Callithrix jacchus: one gene and its partners. The protein of the gene in region 2 purifies or fractionates together with the protein of the main gene of each other region. This does not show direct contact. Links are inferred from orthologs where the notes say so. Each region holds a gene or a part of one and is shown on either strand. Other genes may lie near its edges.

Evidence for each region.
Region 1: the proteins of JAZF1 (region 2) and BRD8 purify together in Homo sapiens (affinity purification with mass spectrometry; 3 studies listed by BioGRID and IntAct, with this or other methods). This does not show direct contact. The link is inferred for Callithrix jacchus from reciprocal best matches to the Homo sapiens genes JAZF1 and BRD8.
Region 3: the proteins of JAZF1 (region 2) and NR2C2 purify together in Homo sapiens (affinity purification with mass spectrometry; 4 studies listed by BioGRID and IntAct, with this or other methods). This does not show direct contact. The link is inferred for Callithrix jacchus from reciprocal best matches to the Homo sapiens genes JAZF1 and NR2C2.
Region 4: the proteins of JAZF1 (region 2) and TRRAP purify together in Homo sapiens (affinity purification with mass spectrometry; 3 studies listed by BioGRID and IntAct, with this or other methods). This does not show direct contact. The link is inferred for Callithrix jacchus from reciprocal best matches to the Homo sapiens genes JAZF1 and TRRAP.

Annotation. Positions count from the first base shown.
Region 1 is NC_133503.1:36,576,144-36,580,890, reverse strand, and holds part of BRD8 (bromodomain-containing protein 8), read left to right. Parts: intron 1-434; coding exon 435-484; intron 485-699; coding exon 700-822; intron 823-943; coding exon 944-1,024; intron 1,025-1,446; coding exon 1,447-1,511; intron 1,512-2,467; coding exon 2,468-2,604; intron 2,605-3,117; coding exon 3,118-3,336; intron 3,337-3,727; coding exon 3,728-3,872; intron 3,873-4,747. UniProt on the Homo sapiens protein: May act as a coactivator during transcriptional activation by hormone-activated nuclear receptors (NR). Isoform 2 stimulates transcriptional activation by AR/DHTR, ESR1/NR3A1, RXRA/NR2B1 and THRB/ERBA2.
Region 2 is NC_133512.1:30,271,885-30,276,062, forward strand, and holds the end of JAZF1 (juxtaposed with another zinc finger protein 1), read left to right. Parts: intron 1-464; coding exon 465-641; 3' UTR 642-2,862; downstream 2,863-4,178. UniProt on the Homo sapiens protein: Acts as a transcriptional corepressor of orphan nuclear receptor NR2C2. Inhibits expression of the gluconeogenesis enzyme PCK2 through inhibition of NR2C2 activity.
Region 3 is NC_133516.1:71,934,080-71,939,497, reverse strand, and holds the start of NR2C2 (nuclear receptor subfamily 2 group C member 2), read right to left. Parts: upstream 3,687-5,418; 5' UTR 3,610-3,686; coding exon 3,520-3,609; intron 3,207-3,519; exon of another isoform or gene 3,099-3,206; intron 1-3,098. UniProt on the Homo sapiens protein: Orphan nuclear receptor that can act as a repressor or activator of transcription.
Region 4 is NC_133503.1:14,618,476-14,623,222, forward strand, and holds part of TRRAP (transformation/transcription domain-associated protein), read right to left. Parts: intron 3,362-4,747; coding exon 3,242-3,361; intron 3,026-3,241; coding exon 2,738-3,025; intron 2,571-2,737; coding exon 2,433-2,570; intron 1,311-2,432; coding exon 1,198-1,310; intron 750-1,197; coding exon 614-749; intron 1-613. UniProt on the Homo sapiens protein: Adapter protein, which is found in various multiprotein chromatin complexes with histone acetyltransferase activity (HAT), which gives a specific tag for epigenetic transcription activation.

The DNA of each region.
Region 1 (4,747 bases), on a different chromosome or scaffold from region 2:
TAATATTTAAGAACCCAAGCTTGGAAATTAGATCTGGGTTCATTATTACTCCATCCAAAAACTGGGTCATTTTCCTTTGTGTTTTTTTCATTTGTAAAATAGTGATGATTTGCTTCAGGATTGTTGTGAAGTTAATTGAGGTAATACATGTAAAGCATTTAACACAGTGCCTTGTTAGTAGATATTAGCTATAAATATTTTCAATTAGGTTGCCTTTACCCAAATGCACAAACTGTAGTCCATAAGACTCTTTCTGTGTCTTGTTTTGATTATTTTGAACTGATTGGATTATCAAGTTACTTACCTGCCTAGAAACCATTCACATCTTACATATATCTCTCTTCTCTAAATCTTACTCTAATCTCTTTAAACTTTGAAAGGGCATTTCTTTTCATGCTTGCTCATCACATTTTCACTTTTTTTTTTTTTTGTAGCATTGTGCTTCCCAGTACTCGGAGCTTTTAGAGACCACTGAGACCCCAAAGTGAGTATAAGGCCAGGTACTTTAGCCAAATTTCTTATAGAGTGTTTACTGAGGAATTCTGGTTTATACCTATTTATAATAGTGGGTGATTTAAAAACATAGCAGAAGTTATCTATGATTAATTGATAAAGAAGGCTCAGAGCAAGTGGGAGAGGGGATAAATGTTCTCTTATTCAAATATGGATTTTTTTTTTTTTTTTTTTCATTTTCCACAGACGGAAACGAGGTGAAAAAGGAGAAGTGGTGGAAACTGTTGAAGACGTCATTGTTCGGAAACTGACTGCTGAGCGAGTTGAGGAACTAAAGAAAGTGATAAAGGAAACCCAGGAGAGATATAGGTACTTATCAGAGAGAATGCCAAAAGACTGAGAAAGACATAAGAGGCTGACGTCTGGTATTGGTCAGATTTTTAGAATAGATTAAAAATCCATTCTACCTACCTCTCTTTTCTTCCTATAGACGGTTAAAAAGAGATGCAGAACTAATTCAAGCTGGACACATGGACAGCAGACTGGATGAGCTTTGCAATGACATTGCAATGTGGGTTATATTATATTGTTCTTCTGTGCTTGTTTCTTTTTCCCCTCTTTTCCCCTCAAGTAATCTGGCTTATTTCCTCCAACTGCCATCCCTTTAGACTTGAGACAGATTCTGGAAGGAGAAAACTGCAAAGCGGCTTGGTGGCTGGGAGGGGGGAGTGAGTCCTAGAAGGTAATATGATGGAACATTTCAGTATGAAAACATAACTTAGTTATAACTTAAAAGTGGCTCTAGTTTGCCTGAGTGAAGAAGTGGGAGTTAGACAGTATACCCCAGTTCCCTGTTTTGCTGGTTAGAATTCCTGTTTAGGCCTTTCTTCCAGAAAGCGCTGGCCAGGCAAAAAAATTTCTTTTTATGGGTTCTGTGAACTCTGGGGAGGAGCCAGAGCCTGTCTAGTGTCTAACTCTTAATTCCTTGTTTAGGAAAAAAAAATTGGAAGAAGAGGAGGCTGAAGTAAAGAGGAAGGCTACAGATGCTGCATATCAGGGTAAGCTGATCCTAGTATATCTGTTTAGCAGTTGATCGCACAGTACTGCAAGCTAATGACAGTTGGATTGTTTTGTAACATAGAATCCATTGGGTTAAATTTACTTGCACAGTTTTCTCTTCTGCTAGAATAAAAACATCCCTTAATGTCCCAGAAGAAGCTCCTAGAACATGAACTCTGCTCAGATCTCACTAGACCTTAATAAATAACTTTAGGATACCAAGGCTCGATAAGAAGATATTGAACATAATTAATGTTTTAGAAGTCAAAGGCCTGTGAAAAGATTGAGAATAGCTCAGTCATTAGATAAGGGGAGAAATGTAAGCATTTACAACTCTAGGAATAAATGCTGTGAGGTCTTTTCCTGTTTTTGTTCCCCCACCCCCGAGAGCTTGTTGTGCAGGCCTGAAGTGCAGTGGCATGATCTCAGCTCACTGCAATCTCTGCCTCCTATGATATTCAAGCAATTCTTCTGCCTCAGCCTCTCAAGTAGCTGGTATCACAGGCACCTGTCACCACGCCCGCCTAATTTTTTGGCCAAGCTGGTCTCAAACACCTGACCTCAGGTGACCCGCCTGCCTTGGCCTCCCAAAGTATTGGGGTTACAGGCGTGAGCCACCGTACCTGGCCTCCGTGTTCTTAAAAGCAGAGTATTAATAAGTCACTGAAGAGAATATTAAAGGGTATAAACCACTTTCCCACTCCGAGGACTTTTGGGATAACTAAGTAGTTTGAGATTGTTAAAGGAGTTTATTTAGTGTGAGAATTGCCCTTAGGAAAAATTAGGCTAAAAAGTTATCCATCTCCAGAAGTGTTAAAGCTTTCTAATCCAAACTCATTATGCTGCTTTAGTAATGCAACATTCCTATTTGTCCTTTATTGTATAATAGCAGAATAGTGTCAAGTTTCATTTATTTAATCTTAAAGATTTGGACATGTTTTCTTTTACGTTCTAGCTCGTCAAGCAGTAAAAACACCCCCCCGGAGGTTACCCACTGTGATGGTTCGCTCTCCTATAGATTCTGCCTCCCCAGGAGGTGATTATCCACTTGGGGACTTGACTCCAACCACTATGGAAGAGGCTACCTCTGGGGTGAGTATATTTCCAGCTGTAGAAATTGATCAGCTAAGGGGCAATAAGCCGGCAGAGCTGAGTGATGAGGAAACCACTTTTGGTCTAAAGGCAACTTCCTCTCTTGGTCTGAATGCTAAAGAATTTACCATGTTCTGTGCTCTGAGATAAAAATGGACCTAAAAACACTGAGGCTTTTGACCTTTTTGAGAGATAGGTAAAAGACTGTTTTAAGGAATTGTTTCATACTAGTCTTATGAAATTCCTGCTAAAATAAGGGACTGAGTCCTTGTAAATGTAATACTGGTAGTGGGTAAGGAGTTCATAAAAGGCAAGTTGGGTGGGATGTTTGAGTGGATGGAAGTGAAGCTTGTGGGGAAGAAAAGTATGGCTGAGAGCAGGAGGGATAGAGGCTTTCTGGGCAATTCGACTCAGGACTAATAAAATAATAGTTAGACACACTAACCCAAACAGATTAGTAGGGAACCTTCCATAGTTTGAGAAGTCAGATAAAGGTTCTCTGTTGTCTCTTAGGTAACCCCCGGGACTTTGCCGAGTACCCCAGTCACCTCGTTTCCTGGGATTCCTGACACCCTTCCTCCAGGCTCTGCACCCTTAGAAGCCCCCATGACCCCAGTAACAGATGATTCACCCCAGAAAAAGATGCTTGGACAGAAAGCAACTCCACCCCCCTCCCCTCTGCTGTCAGAGCTCTTGAAGAAGGGCAGCCTCCTGCCTACTAGCCCCAGACTGGTATGGAGACTTCTGTGGGTGTTTGAGAGCTGTGGTGATTTAGTACTTGGAAGGGAGTGCCTGGGACCTAAAATGTGACATGGGGAAAAAAAGTTCAAAAGAGGAAAATATCTCCTAATTATATGTTAATTTTTGAAAAATATAGTAAGTTGATAGTACCCTTGGGTCCTGAGGTCTCTGAATCAAAATTATTTTGGTTCTCTACTCCAGAGAACTCTTGTCAAATAAGTTTTGAACATTATAGTTTAGAGTTTCCCTTGGGTATTAAATTATTCTCTGTGGATGTTAACTGTTAGTTTTCATAAAGTTTGATCAACTTCTGGAGCTTTGTTGGGAAATGGTAGTAAAGGAAAACTTGAGTGTAGCCTTCACCTCTGTTCTTCCCTGGTAGGTCAATGAGAATGAAATGGCTGTGGCTTCTGGCCACCTGAACAGTACAGGTGTCCTCCTGGAGGTAGGCGGGGTCCTTCCCATGATACATGGTGGGGAGATACAGCAAACACCCAATACTGTTGCAGCCTCCCCTGCTGCCTCAGGTAAGTTACCACTTTTCCTTTATCTACTTCAGAGGTGTTGAACTTGACATTGACTGACCTCAATTTCAGTGTTTTTTACTAAGTAATTGTTAGTCCTAGTTTAAAGCCCAACTTTGTCTAACTGTTTTTGAAGCTACTTTACCTGGTAAACAATGTAGTGCTCCTGATTATAAAGCTGTCTGTCTTCAAGGTATTGATAGCCCTGATTGACCACAGCATAGATATTAAGAGTAATACTGAGCTGCTTTCTTGTGGCTTGCAAAATCAAGGTACTAGAGATACCTGAGATTCTAGAATAGTGGAATAAGATTTGGAACCAGAGAACTGGGCTTGAATCTCAGACCTGCCACACATTGGTTTTGTGACTTTGTATAGGTAACTTAGCTTTTGAGTCTCAGTTTACTTTTTTTATTAATTGTAATGTATATATTTGATGAAGAGGTGATAAGAATTAAATGAAGAAAAAAGTGTAAAGCAGGGAAAGACAAAAAGCTCCATAAAATATTCTATAAACTTTATTGGTATTTGAATGGTGTTGAACTTGGTGATTTACAATATGCTGAACTTCAGCAGAAGTGACATATTTATTAATACCAGTTTTTTATTTCTTGGTGATTAATTTTCCTCTGAGGAAAAATTACCACCCTTTTTTTTTTTTATACAGAGCCTCGCTCAGTTGCCCAAGCTGGAGTGTGGTGGCACAATCTGAGCTCACTGCAAACTCCATGTCCTGGGTTCAGTCAATTCTCCTGCCTCAGCTTCCTGGGAAGCTGGGATCAGAGGTGTGAGCCACTGCACCTGGCCTTACCACCCATTTTTTTATATATGTTGTGTGTTCTAGTGCTTTGGTTCATTCCTAACTTGGAGGAAGATCT
Region 2 (4,178 bases):
TAGTAGGGAACTGTTAACACAGTTGTCTGGAAGCAAGATGTAAATTGTTTTCAAATCAAAAATTTATATACGTCAAACTTTGAGATGTGCCCTAATGTTTTTTTTTTCTTTAGAAAGATATTTTGTTGGTCATGCTGAGGATTTGTATAGGGTTGTTCACTGTTAACTTTCTTTAGAGTGAAAAAGATTCAGAGGATTTTCTTTCTACAGTCTGTAAGTCCTAAATATTGGAAGAAATCAGCACTTCCATTTTCAGAGTAATTGAGGCACATCTGAAATTTCGAGTCAGCTGTGTGTGTGACCATCTGTACAGCCCATGATCAGCACACAACTGGAATCCTTGCAAAAGCCTGCGCTCTGAACCGCTGCCGTCCAGGAACTACAATCCAGATCCAAATTGAGGTTTCCTAAGTTTGACATTCTGTGATTCCATCTAATAAGAAATATTTTTGTATTCTCCACAGAATGTGAATGGCATAAAGTACCACGCTAAGAATGGTCACAGAACACAGATTCGTGTCCGCAAACCATTCAAATGTCGCTGTGGGAAGAGTTACAAGACAGCTCAGGGCCTGCGGCACCACACAATCAATTTCCATCCCCCGGTGTCGGCTGAGATTATCAGGAAGATGCAGCAATAACATGCTGGTCATAACTGTGCCAAGAAATCCTCACCAGCAGTTGCTGATTTTGAAAACAGCCACCTTTTTTCAGGGGAAGCATTCAGCAACCCTTTAAAGAAAAAGAATTAAATGCATGCTTTAAATTTTTTCTGTAATTTTGGAATGATGTATCTTTGTAGAGTTAATGATTTTGTACATTTGCACATGTAATCATCATACCCATTTTCATTACTTTGATATAAGGTGCTAAACAAAAAAGCTCTAGGTTCTTCAGCACATTTCCCCCAAAACAAAATAAAATTGAGGGCATGTGGCATATTGTTGAATTGTATTGCAGTGAAATCAACTGGGGGGAGGAGGGGCTGGCACTGAGATTTTTTTTCAAGATTGTAATGTGATTGAAGTTTTCGACACATCAACTCACATATGTTCAAAACCAAAATAATACCTTCATTATCAAACTGGTTACCATGCCTTACATAATGGAGTTAGTATTTGTGAGTAGAAAGACTTTAGGTAATGGAAATATAAATAAGAATGTTTAACATAATATGCTAAAAATATTTTCATATTTAAATAACATACATAAAAGGTGTGCTTTCTGTGTTTTATATTATCTTGCAAATCTTTTGCCCTTTAAAAAGCTGAAAATCTTGCCATCTGACTTACTAGTCATTTTAGTGTTATAAATGGCATTTTGTACAAAATAGTCTTATTCAGTTCATTCATTCATTAACCACACATTCATTGAGTGCCTGCTGGGTGCAAGAGATTCAATTTATGCCTCTTGATATCTGCGGACCAAGAAACCAATTTAGTGAAATACTTTTCCTTGAAATCTGTTAGGAAACACTTTGAAATACTTAAGTGCAAATTTTGTGTGTGTGGAATTTAGTTATATCTTCATCTTCAGATGAAGTTTTAAAGCACTTTGTAGTTCTCTATTGCCAACAATTTAATGATGGTTATGTGTTGCCAATTCTTGCAACCACTACCCTACCAGTCCTGTGGGTTGCAAATCAGAACTAAAATTCTAAGCATGTTTCAAAGAGGAACACTTTTGTTAAGACTCCTATTGCCTCTTCTTCATGCTCATCATTTTTGAGACTTTTCTTAAAAGGCACTTTTCTCATCACATTGTAGAGTCTGCATTCTCATAGGAAATGTCTGTTTAGCTTTATAAACACTTTGCTGAAATATGAAAATGAGCCTTATTGACAATTAAGTGCTTCTTGCAGCAGGTGGTCAAAGAAAAGCATGACTAATACGACCCGTTAGAGTAACCTACATCTGGACCATTCCTGAAGTTTTTCCTCACCGACATACCATCATGCCTTGAGTGTTCTTTTCTCCCAAGTGCTATTCCTTAAACATGAGAGTTTACCAATTGCCTAAGTATGCAATAAAAAAATGCTTTGAGATAGCTAACTGCCCATAAAACAAACTCAGATTGCTCATAAAAAAATTATCTTCCCATATTCCCATCTGATGAAAAATCTTACGTCACATGTAGCTAGGAAGCAGGGGGTCCCTCCTCAATTTTCAGATGTTTTGAAAGGATGACAATTCTGCTAGCCAGATGAGTAAACCTCTAAATTCGTAAGTTCTGAATCCCTCATAATGAGGGATTTTAAAGTATTTTTAAAGACACTGCCCTCTTAAAATTTCCTCAGCTCTGAAGCATGGTCTTGGTCCTGAATATACAGTGTTATCCTGTTTAAAAGGGTGATCCAGACGACATGAGAAGCAACTAGTTGGTGCATAAGAAGGCCCTACTTGGCTATTTCATATCTACCTACAATTGACCAAAAAACAATTTTTAGGCCAGCAATTATTATTTAGCTTTGCTCCTTCTAGTGCAAAGAACTGCAGGCTGGATCAGTAGTTTAACAGCTAAACAGTCATAAAATAGTCATTGTGCATGTTAAATTTCTTTCAATGATAAAACAAATTCCAATTTCTATTTACTTATTCATTGTGACAGTATTACTAAACAGGTAAGGATGGGAATATTTTGTTATACTGTGTATAGTGAATGTATTGTACTGTGTCTGTGAAAACTGTGCTTTAAATTATATTTTCATATGTTTTGTTGGGAACAGAGCACATTAAGTCTGAAAGCGACAGAGGTTTGTATTAGAATTGAAGGCAACTTAATCAAAATTCCTGTCAAGAAAAGCTGCTTATAAATGTAAATGAAATCACATTTAAAATAAACTGCCTCTGACCCAAAAATAAATATGGCTCTTTATTTTCCTTAGTGTCCATTATGAAATCCAGTATCAAGTGGAAATTAATATATCCATTCAGTTCCTCATTCTATCTTAGGCTGTTCAGGTGATGCATGTAGACTTTATTCCTTTAAATTTTTGGTTAGATTAGGCTGTATTACTTTTCTATCAATCACAAATTACTTAAACTGGGACCCAGTAACTATTTTTAAATAAGTTCTAGGCTAGTAAGGATGAACAGCATCTACTACTGGAATATTCAAAGGATACTTTTGGATTAACATGGTCCATAATTATTACCTGCAACAAAAATGCTCCTACTGTTGAACATATTGTACCTAAGTATATTCTGCTTGTCATACAACCTATCAGGAAGCTGAAACTTCGAATCTCCAAAGCTACTGCTTCCTAGGACTACTGTGTCCTAACAGCTGGCATCTGAATGCCTAATACTGGTTTGCCCTAGACGAAAATACCTTTTTAAAGGATACTAACAATACATAAACTCTGCTTCCACAAACAAATACAAATGATGTAATATGCTACAGTTCACATATAGCAACCCAGAATGCCACCAAGTCGAAATATTAGGTTAACATCTTCAATAACTAGTTCACTCAGAACAAATGTAAACTATATTGATAACTACAAAAGTGGTAAAATCAAAAGTTGGTACTTTAAATTATTCATATGCACATTATAGAAGGGAAAGAGAATACAGTTCAGAAGTATTTTAAAGGCCCAAACCAAAAAAAGATGTTTAAGATGCTAGGTTGATGAAAAACTTTCACAAATAAATTTGACAACGAAATTACAGATCTCAGAAAACGTGTCCTCTTTACTGTTAGTGAGAGTTCTATACAGCAGACATAACCAAAGAAACACATTACTTTGATCTGGGTTTATGCAGTGTACTTTTAATCACTTACTGAGAATATTTCAAATTTATATTCTCATCAGGAAAATTTTAAAAAGATACTGATACATATTCTGTAATTTTTTGCCACAAACACCCCTGTTATGAGATTATTTAATATGAAAACAATTATACTGACATCTGTTTTTCCATTTTCCTATTAGATATATACATACAATTTCTAGATAGTTTAAAAATATTTGGGTTATTCTGAAATTTTGTCATAAAATTAGCAAAATATACCTCCTGTTAATTGCTAAAACTAACATTTCATATAAAAGCATGTGATCTCAGTCTACATGCAGCTCCATTTCTAAAAATTAAAAACCTATCATTTAATGGGCTAAATTATAGAGGTATCCATATTCAAAGAACTACTTCACAAGACCGTTATGATAAATGCTTTTT
Region 3 (5,418 bases), on a different chromosome or scaffold from region 2:
AAGACCACTTCCAATTCTGAGATTCTAGGATCCCTTCACAGACTCCCCGTGTGATATTTATTAAGGTGATACTTGTATAGGAGATGCTTTGGGACTAAAGGAGCATACGGCTCACAGATAAGAGAACTTGACAATAAAAATCCCAATGGAAGGTCCTCAAAATGTGGAGACACTCAGGCAACTGACACAGGAGGCCAGTGGCTCAGTGCCATGGCTGAAAACAGGGCTGCTCCACAAAGACTCACCTCCCTTGTTCTCAAAGTCATTTAGAAAACAAGTATCCTCTACTTCTGGCCCCATTCTCAACGCTGGCTACCACCTCCCTGTTTGACAAATGGGGAACTATACGCCTCAGAGAATCTACAAACTCCAGGTTCTGAAGCCAGGTACTTCTGGCTTCATACCCCAAGCTCTCTGTCACTGCACTGCCCTGCCACATGACTCCTTGGAGACAGATGCTAAAACTTCCCAGCCAACTTCATAAAGTGAGAAGGTTGTTACGCATAGAGATTTTCTTCTATAAAGGAATGATCATGAAAACAAAACTTCAAGTTCACTGTGAATACAGCTACTGAAAGCAATAAATGAGTAACTTAATGGTGTAAAAAAATATATAGCTGTTTTACTAAACTATCAGTTCTTTGGTTATCCTGAGTAATTAGCTCAACGAATCAAGTGTTGAATTGAACAAGTGATACCAGAAATCCTTGAGCAAGACAGAAAAAAAAAAAATCCAAAAATTAACTATTATTATTTTTAAAATACCCTAACGGTATCTTATTTTAAAAGTTTTACAATATAAAATAAGTCAATACAAATGTTCTCTTTACCACACTTTGGAGTAGCAACTTGATATATACTTTACAAAATTTGCTTTTAGCCTTGGTAAAGCAATTAAAAGATGATTTTCAATAATTTCATTAAATGAATAAATTTATCTCTGGAAGGATAAATATCCCAAAGTAATGGCTACAGAGACTTTCAACTCCCAACTCCCTGTGAACCCACTGGAGGCTTCTTCCTTGCTCTCCAATTCCCTGTGATAGTGAAACAAAAATCAGAATATTTGATTTCAAGAAAATCATGTTAGTTTGGTGCTTTGTTTCTTCAGTTAAATAACATAAGGATGTTTGGGTTATTTATTTCTTCACATATGAACTTACTTTCATGCAATTAAATTTATAATTCAATCATAAAAAGATCAATATAGTGGGAAAAATGATTGAAACAGGTCATTTTATTCAATATTTATGTCTCAAGGCAGTGGCATATCTAACAGAAAGCACTTCCTAAATACAACCAAATACCTTAACAGGCTTTTTATTGCTGGCAGTGTTATCTGAATTGCCAAAGAGGCTCACATAAAAGGTGGATACTGCATCAATGCACAGCAACTTAGTTATCAGTGACATCATAAATTATCAACAATTCATTCAACAAATAGTGCCAGGCACTCTTCTAAGTGCAGGGTAAGTAATGGTGAACAAAATGTATTCCTGCTCTCCTGGCTTACAGTGTGGTAAGGACAGACATTAATCAAATAATCACATAATGGAGTGTATAATTACAAAGTGAAATAAAGGTTATAAAGAAAAGAAACACAATAAAAAGAATCTGATTTAGATTGGCAATGGGAATTAGGGAGGACTTCCCTGAAGAAGTGATGCTTAAGCCAATATCTGAGGTAGGGTGGGAGGACGCAGGGGTAGGGGACAGACATTTGAATATATCAGGCTGAGGGAACAGCCTGTGAAAGGGCGTAAGGTGAGAAGGTAAGCTACACTGGTCAAGGAAGTTGAAGGTAGGCCAGTGTGTCCAGAGCACAGGAGTTAGGGGTACACAGATAAGAAAATAATCAAAAGCCTTGGAGAGGTTTTTAAACATAAAGCAGAAAAAGAGCCCCTGCCATTATGTAGGTTCTAGTGGAGCCTGAACAACATACTGCCTGAAAAGAGTTTTGTAAATCATAAAGCACCCTATACTTTGGTTAGTACTATTTAGTTTCACTATTTTATTTTCTAAACGTTTGTCCTGGATGCCAAGTAGCTAGTTGAAAGCATAGAGCCAAAACTAGAATCTCAGAACATCTATCTATTGTTTTTGCCCCTACACCACACTGCCTAAAAATTTCATTGTTTCTATCACTTAACTAGTCCAATGTCTATACCAGTACTTCATAATGACAATAACTCTACTTATAGAGTATTTACTATATGTCAGGCCCTTTGCTAAGCTCTATTATTTACATTAACTCATTTAATCTTCAGTTCTAGAAGGAAGGTTCTATTATTATCCAGACAAGGTTACTGAGGCTAGGAAAGGTAACTTACACAAAATCACACTACTAGTAAAAGTTGGGAGTTGCTAATCACAACACTGAAACATTTTATGTCTGTGTATGTATGTGTATAAATACCTCTTTAGCTCCAGAAAGAAAAAAGAGAGAGATAGTGAGTGTGAGAAGGGGTGTGTGTGTGTGTAGAACTTGTACACAGAGAATTATATTCAACTTCAGCCTGGACGATAGAGTGAGACCCTGGTCTCAAAAAAAAAAAAAAAAAAAAAACATGTTCACATGTTTGAGCACCAGTGTCTTCGTCATTTTTGTATTCTCAGCCTAGCGCAGTGCCTGGAGTATATGTGGCATTCAGGAAATATTTGAAGAACTCAAGATGTATATAAGAGGCTGACGAAGGATTTGCATCTGGAACTAAAGTGAGTTTCCGAGGCCCTCCTCCCAAGTCATATATTCACCAGCAATTCGTATGAAGGCCGTATTTTCCTCGACTTTATTATTACATTGAAGATTTGTTCCTCACTACCGTTGCTATATTTTACAGCCTTTGGCTTGGAGTGGGATAATGCACAATTAACTAGTTCCAACCAACTCTCCAGCCACAAGTAGCTAGTTCTCAATCACATCAAATGCTCTTCCTCCGGGGCCCTTACACAGGCTGTCCTGTCTGGAATGCCATTCCCTCCTTGGGTTCCTCTGTTCAAACATCACTTCCTCAGAGAGGTCACCCCGACCATTCCATCTAAATTAGTGCCTGAGGTCTTCAGCAGGTCATTTGGTTTTTTCCTTTCATAGAACTTACCACTCTCTGGAATTATTTCTTTGTCTATTTACCCCCTAGCCCCCCAACGCTAGTGAGGGCAGGGGTCTCGTCCAGCTGGTTCTCCAGATGTATCCCCAGTGCCTAAAACTAAGTAAACATGTATTCAGTGAAAGAATGAAAAGAGAATCACCCCCGAATCGTGCTCTCTCAAGCCCTTAATACCCTTAAGCTTGCCTCTCCTGGTGGCCGTAATCCCATTTTTAACAGTAATACCATTTTCAAGTGACTTTGAGGCTAGCAAAGTAGACTTGACTCCATTTTCTGAGCAGAGCCCCAAAAACAATGCTGAAAAGGGAGGTCCAGCCTGGCAAGAATGCCCATGCTCCCCATTTTACAATGGATAAAATTGAGCCTCATTTGGGGATTCGCCATAGCCGCTCCGAAATAACGAGCAGGAGACCTGAAACGGGTTTGTCCGCGTTCCGAAAATCTCTTCCCTCGAGACCTCATCGTGGACTCCAAACGCATCACCTTTAATACTATTGTTCATTAGTACTCATTCTGGACGCGTTCCAGTAGGAGGGAAGCCGCCCACCCCAGGGCCCAGGGCCGCGCCCCTTGTGCCCCGCCCCAGGCCCCGCCCCCCGCGCCCCAGCCCCTACTCCCGCCCCGCCAGGGCTCCCGCGCCCCATAGGGACCGCCCTATTCTGCCTCACCCAATCAACAAAGATTATGGAGGCGGTGCCACAGAACCCGACCCTCCTATCCGGGCGCCAATTGGTCGGCCCACCCGTCGCTCACGAGGTGGTGCCTCGCACCCGCCTTCCTCCTTTCCCTTTGCCCTCCCCTTCAGAAAAAACGGCGGTTGGGCCACGGCGGCCGCCAAAGGCGGACTAGAAGCGAAGGGGCAAAGAACCCAGGAGAGAGGGAATAAGGGACTGCAGGAGGGCGGAGGAATATAAGGAGGAAGGGAGCCCGCCCAGCCCAGGCCATCTCCGTCGAGAACAAAATGGCGGCGCTGGCGGAGGGCCAACTGTGAGGCGGGGCCGCGGCCATTCCCCCTCCGCCCCCACCCTTGCGCCGGCCCGGCCGGTCAGGGGGAACCCGCTCGCTTCGTCCGGCCGCGGGCGGGGAGGGAAGGGGAGCGGCCCGGCCCACTATGCAAAGCGCCGAGCGCCGCCGCCGCTGCCGCCCCGTGGCAAAGGTAAAAGGGTCGGGTTCAGCCGTCGTTGCGGCGCCTCCATTTCCCCGCGCCAGGCCCGCCCCCTCCGCCGCTGGCCCGAGCCCGCCCGACCCTTTTTCAATCTTACCTTAGGGTTTGGCGCCAAAGCGGCCTCGAAGCGGGTCCCGTGTCTGCGGCGGGCGGCCCCCGGCGCGGAGGGCAGGGCGCGGGGAGCCCCGGCTCCCGGCGTCGGCGGATGGCGGGAGCCCGGGGGCCGCGGGCTCGCGGGGCAGCGGGCGAGAGACGAGATGCCGAGGTGGTTGCGGGGTGGCGGGGACGGGCCCGGGGGCGCCGCCGGTGTCGCGGGGAAGGGGGGGTTTGTTATTGTTTTTGTCAGTGAAAGGTCAGAGTTCGTGACCCCGGTGCCGCCGCCGCCGCCGCCCGCGCGCTGGTAGGAGGAGGGCGAATGTTCTTCTTCCTCTTCCCAGCGCCAGCCTCGCCGCGGCGGCGGGGGGCGGGCGAGCACGCGATTGGCTGAGGCGCGCGCGCGCACCGGAACGCCGCGGCCGGCGCTCGGTCCATCCGGCCCTTGGGCTACGGGGCCCCGGGCGGCGGTTGCGGCGGCTCCCGGGCTCGGTCGCGGCGGGGCGGGCGGATCTGTGGCTTAAATGGCGCAGGCGCCAGGGCCTAGAGGCCGAAAAGGTAGATATCCTAAAAACTCGTGATGTCGCGCACGGTTACCCGGGCCCAGGCCCGCCCCTCGGGGGAACCGCGAACTCCTCGCGGCTGGGTGGGTACTGTCCTCGCAGTGGTGGCCTCCACCCCGGCCTTCCGCCTAACCGAGGTTTCTGGGAGGCTGGCAAAGTCTCTGTTGATGGAAGAAGCGGGGCCCTGACTAGCGCGACCGCGGATTCGCCCAGCCGCTCAGTAGGGCGCCTGTAGGTCGGAAGTGGGGGTTGTATTGGGTGGGAATTGAGCTATTCTGGCCTTTCTCGGTACAGATAGTTTTTAATTTAGGGTTTTAAAGATCCAAAGATGCGTCCGCTCTGGCCATCACAGGTGAAGTGTTGAAACACCCTAGAATCTGTAATTTTTTCTTAATGAACATACGATCCAGATCTTGTGTAATTCCATGCCCTCCTCGAGATATGAAAGTAGTAAATGGTAATATGTAGGAATGTGTAAAGCAGCTTTTAG
Region 4 (4,747 bases), on a different chromosome or scaffold from region 2:
GGGGAAAAAACTGCCTCTGTGCTAAGCATGTACAGAGCTTTTCTTGTCATTATTCCCTAATAACTACAGTGTAATAACCGTGTACACAGCAATTAAAACCATATTAGGTACTTTAAGTAACCTAGTCAGGATTTAAAGAACACAGGAGGCCGTGCAGAAATTACATGCAAATACTACACGCACGATTCTCTATCAGGGCCTTCAGTATCTGTGGGTTTTGGTATCTGTGGGGGTCCTAGATACTGAGGGAAGAATGTATTTTTACTGATATAAGTGACTGGTTATTTCTCAGAGGAACACAAACTCCTGCATCCAATGAGTCATTTCCCAGAAGTCAACAACCTGGGCTTGATTCCATCCTTTAGTTAATAGTCTGTGACTATTTCTCATCTTCAACTTCTCACATTTTGTAAAAAAAAGACATTACTCAAATTCAGGAAAGGCATTGAAGACAATCAAAAAGAACCTTTCCTTTCCACAAGTTATCTTTCCACTGCCAAAATGCTTGTTCTAAGGGAAATCTTCCCAAAAGACACCTGCTGCTTCAGGAAAGAGGACCCAGGCAGCTGGAGGGATGCCCCTGGGGCATCCTGTACTAGTACCAGTGCCTCACCTGTACCAGTGCCTCCTTCATGGCAGTCCAGTTGGACACCCGCCAGGCGCACTCCAGGACAAGGTAGGGATTGATGTGGCCTTTGGACTGGCCATACTCGGTCAGGGCTTCCCACTGGTTCAACTCCTTGGAGCACCTACAAGACCATAGATCCGAGGGCAGAAGCTCAGTCACCAGCACACTCATGAATTCAAAGAGGCAGTGATAGGGTTTTAAGAAGCAAATTTCCATTCTACAGAAGAACAACACAGCAAGAGTGAACTTCTACAGAACACGGAGATGGGCTCCATCGCGGGGTGAGCCCCCTGCCTGCTGCCCACCACGAAACACCTGCTTTTCAGCAAATGGCCTCAAGCACTGGAGCCAGGGGAGATGCAAGGATAGTTTACTGCTTCTCCAGTTGACATGTTTAATTACTCAAGGCTTTACATGCTGGTCTTAGGTTTCTGTTTGTTCTTTTCTTTACGTGGCCATAAAGTAGCAAAGCTCCCTTTAAAAAACACTCATTACAAGAAAAGGTCTGAGATGTTTCCTTGGTTCCCTCAACTGATTCATGCTCATGTCAAGCACTGTGTTTGGCTCACCGAATCCAGTGGTCTTCCCAGAGCTGGTATTCGGGGAAGATCGCAGGGGAGGCATTGCTCCTTTCGTGTTCTTTTTTGGCTTTATCCATTGCCTTTTCATAGGATTCTTGTGCCTAAAAAAAGTTAACACTTTTAAACTACTGTTTAACTAGTAACATACCTTTTCTTTCTGTGTTTTTAAATTTAACACTTAGAAAAGTTTTTTGAGATGGGGTTTTGCTATGTTGCCAAACTAGACTCAAACTCCTAATTCCTAGGCTCAAGGGCCCCTCGTGCCTCAGCCTCCCTAAGTCACTGAACTGCAGGTACAAGCCTGCAGCTGGCTAAGAAACACCTTTTCACCGCCATGGCCCAGTTGTGTAGAGCAAGTTGAATCACAGACCTGAGAGTGTGTGGGGCTCTTCTGCAGGACCACTCAACACCCACAGCTCTCTGTTCACAGAGACAGAGAAGGTGGGTTTCCCTGTACAGATGGAAGGGGAGGCTGTCCAGATGCAGGATTAATTTCTCCATCCTTTAGTGATCAGAGCAGGAGCCACAAGGCCACATCTGCTTTTGGAGCTTCTGTGGCTCGGCACCCTACACAGTACTGGGATCACACCCTGAAACAGTGGCCCACGCCATGCCAAAGGGCAGAATGAAGAGTAAAATGTAAGCACTAAACGAAACCTATTACTTCTAACCGGACCCACAATGGGAGGTAAAAAGCATCCACGCTGGCATCTAATGCACGGGACTTATTGAGACTGTGCTTTTTAGCTCATGTCATATACAGAAGTGTCTCTTAAATGCAGACTTCAGTCACAGGGCCTTTACAGATTCACGTTTTAAAGCATATTTAAATGTGAACTCCGGCTGGTCGCGGTGGCTCATACCTATAATCCCAGCACTTTGGGAGGCCCAAGTGGGCGTATCACCTTGAGGCCAGGAGTTCAAGACCAACCTGGCCAACATGGTGAAACCCCATCTCTACCAAAAATACAAAAATCAGCCAAGCATGGTGGTGGGTGCCTGTAGTCCCAGCTACTCGGGAGGCTGAGGCAGGAGAATTGCTTGAACCCAGAAGGTGGAGGCTGCAGTGAGCTGAGATTGTGCCACTGTATTCCAGCCTGGGTGACAGAGCGAGACTCCATCTCATAAAAAAAGTGAGCTAGAACTTGAGAAGATTTTACTAAAGAACCATCAGAAATGGCCTCTCACTGCACATGCAAGCCAGGCAGTTACCGGAGGTTTACCTGCTCAAAGAACCCGTGCTGCTCGTAAGCAATTGCAGTCGCCGTCTCCGAGTACTTGCACCGCTTCTGCCACAGACCGGCCCACATATCTTCCTCTTGCAAAAGGGAGTAAAGTTCCGCAAGGGAATCCAGTATCTCCTGAAAACACAAAGCAAGGTTCCTCAGTGCTCAGGACAAAGACTTTGTTTTCCTAAAAATGCAGCTTCACTGTGTTGTAATTTGAAATCATTTGGGAGCAGTACTTATTTAAAGTGTGAGGACACTGGCAGGGAAGAGGTAATGAACAATCTGAGGCGCATCCTCACCTGCTGAGGTGGGGTGATGCTCTCCTGCTCATAAAACTCTGTTGTTTGCTTCGGCTTTATCTGAAGACTCAGACCCTTTTCAAAAGCCTGGTGCTCCAGCATCAGTGTGGACCGGAACCAGAGGTTGTGTGTTTTCCCCAGGTACTTCAGGACACAGGGTCGGATGGGGATCGGGGGCACGCACTGGGACATGGCTTCCACGAAGCAGTTCAGCGCACTGGGCTGGCAGTCTCGCTGTACCTGGTGACTACCGCTGCACAGGAATGGACTTATCTCGCCCGCGAGCGCCTGAAACCAAAGCGCATGTCATCCATAGCTTCATTCAAAAATCAGCGTCTCACTGTCTCTCTTGATGCAGCTAAGAATACCTTTCCTAATGCACTCGAGTGACAGCCAGCAGTTTCCTCATCCTCTAAAACTTGATCAAGACTGTGTTCTTTTAAGAATACTTACCAAAAGATGAAACTACATTTCTCCAAAACAGGATTTTAAAGATACACTCACATGCTGCTGTCTGTCAGAGAGGATCTTCCATAATCTGGGGAAAAGCTGGACCCATGTCTTCTCTGCCAGCGTTGTGGAAATGTGGCACAGCTGAACGAAAGCGCTGAGCAGCGCTCCAGTCTACGGACAAAAAGACGATAGGCTGAGATGGCCATGGGCTAGAGGTGCCTTGCACACCCAGGCTCAGAAGATGACCCTGATCTGTTCTCATACATTATCAGATGTTCCTCCACTTCTGAACTTTCAAAGATCTGAGAAATCTTCTTTTTTACTCCATATTGGAGTAAAAGCCCATGGATCCTGACTCCCAGAAAGCCACGGTGTGCTTAGCAGCAAGCCCAGGCATCCCTCAGCAACGGCGCCTGCATTTGTCCTCAGTTTTTAAGGGCATTTCCTAACACTACCGATCCCATCATATCCAAGAAGTACAAAAACTGATAAGGCTGAAGGAGTAACTTAGAGGGACACAGATGTCACCGAGACCCCGGCCACTGAAAATTGGAACATGAAAACACATGTATATGACATAAACTACTTGCCAAAAGGTATTATTATGAAGAACAAATCAGCAACTGAAAGTTCAGTGTCTGCAATTGGCAGTGGACAAGAGACAGGAGATAATGACCGAGACAGACTGAAACAGAATGCAACTGAACAGAGAATAGAATGAACTGGAAGGGAACCTGGATGATGAGAGCCAGAGGTAGAAACCAAGGCCCAGGGGGCACAGCAAATCCACAGATGTGTTTATTTCGTCCCAGGCCTGTTGTTTGGAAGATCTGATCTGAATTAGCTGCCAACAGTCCTTATTAACAGCCAGGTTTCTAGTCTGCCTGAAGCTGCTCTAGCCCACAGGAGACACCCTACGTGGCTTCAGGCAGTGGCACCAGGGTCTGGAGCATGAGCCGACAGCCACAGTGCCTGCTGCCCCAGTGCAGAGACAGAGTTCCAGGGACATGATTACGCTTCCATCTCTCCTTCAGCAAACCCAAGAGAGGAAACCACTGGCACGGTCATGTTTCTACTAAGAACAGACAGCAAGGATACCAATCTTTCAAGGAAGATGGGTGAAAATGTTTAGGTAAAGAACGCTCCTAATTGTGTGCCACAGAGGAGACCCTTGAACTCAGTACCCAGGCTGAGCCTGGTATCAGGCTCCCTGTGAGGAGGACTGTGATAAGTGGCCACAGTTCCCCTCACATGGCCACACACTTCACCCTGACCAGCCTATCAGGGGCCTCTCAGCTCCACGTCAATTTAGCAGAGACCAAGAGCTGGGGAGAACCAACGTCACTGACGTACTGATAAAGCTGCTCAACTCCAACCATGGGGTTTGCATCAGAATCCCAAAAGACACAATCCTAACTGCCATAACCCTGAGTGTTGAAATCCTGAAAGATCAAAATCCCTGAAAATCATCATAGGACAGCTGCATCAGGTGAGGAACTGTGAGTTGTTACTGTCTGCATGGGTTAAGGAGATGCCTGTGGGTGCCACATTGACGGT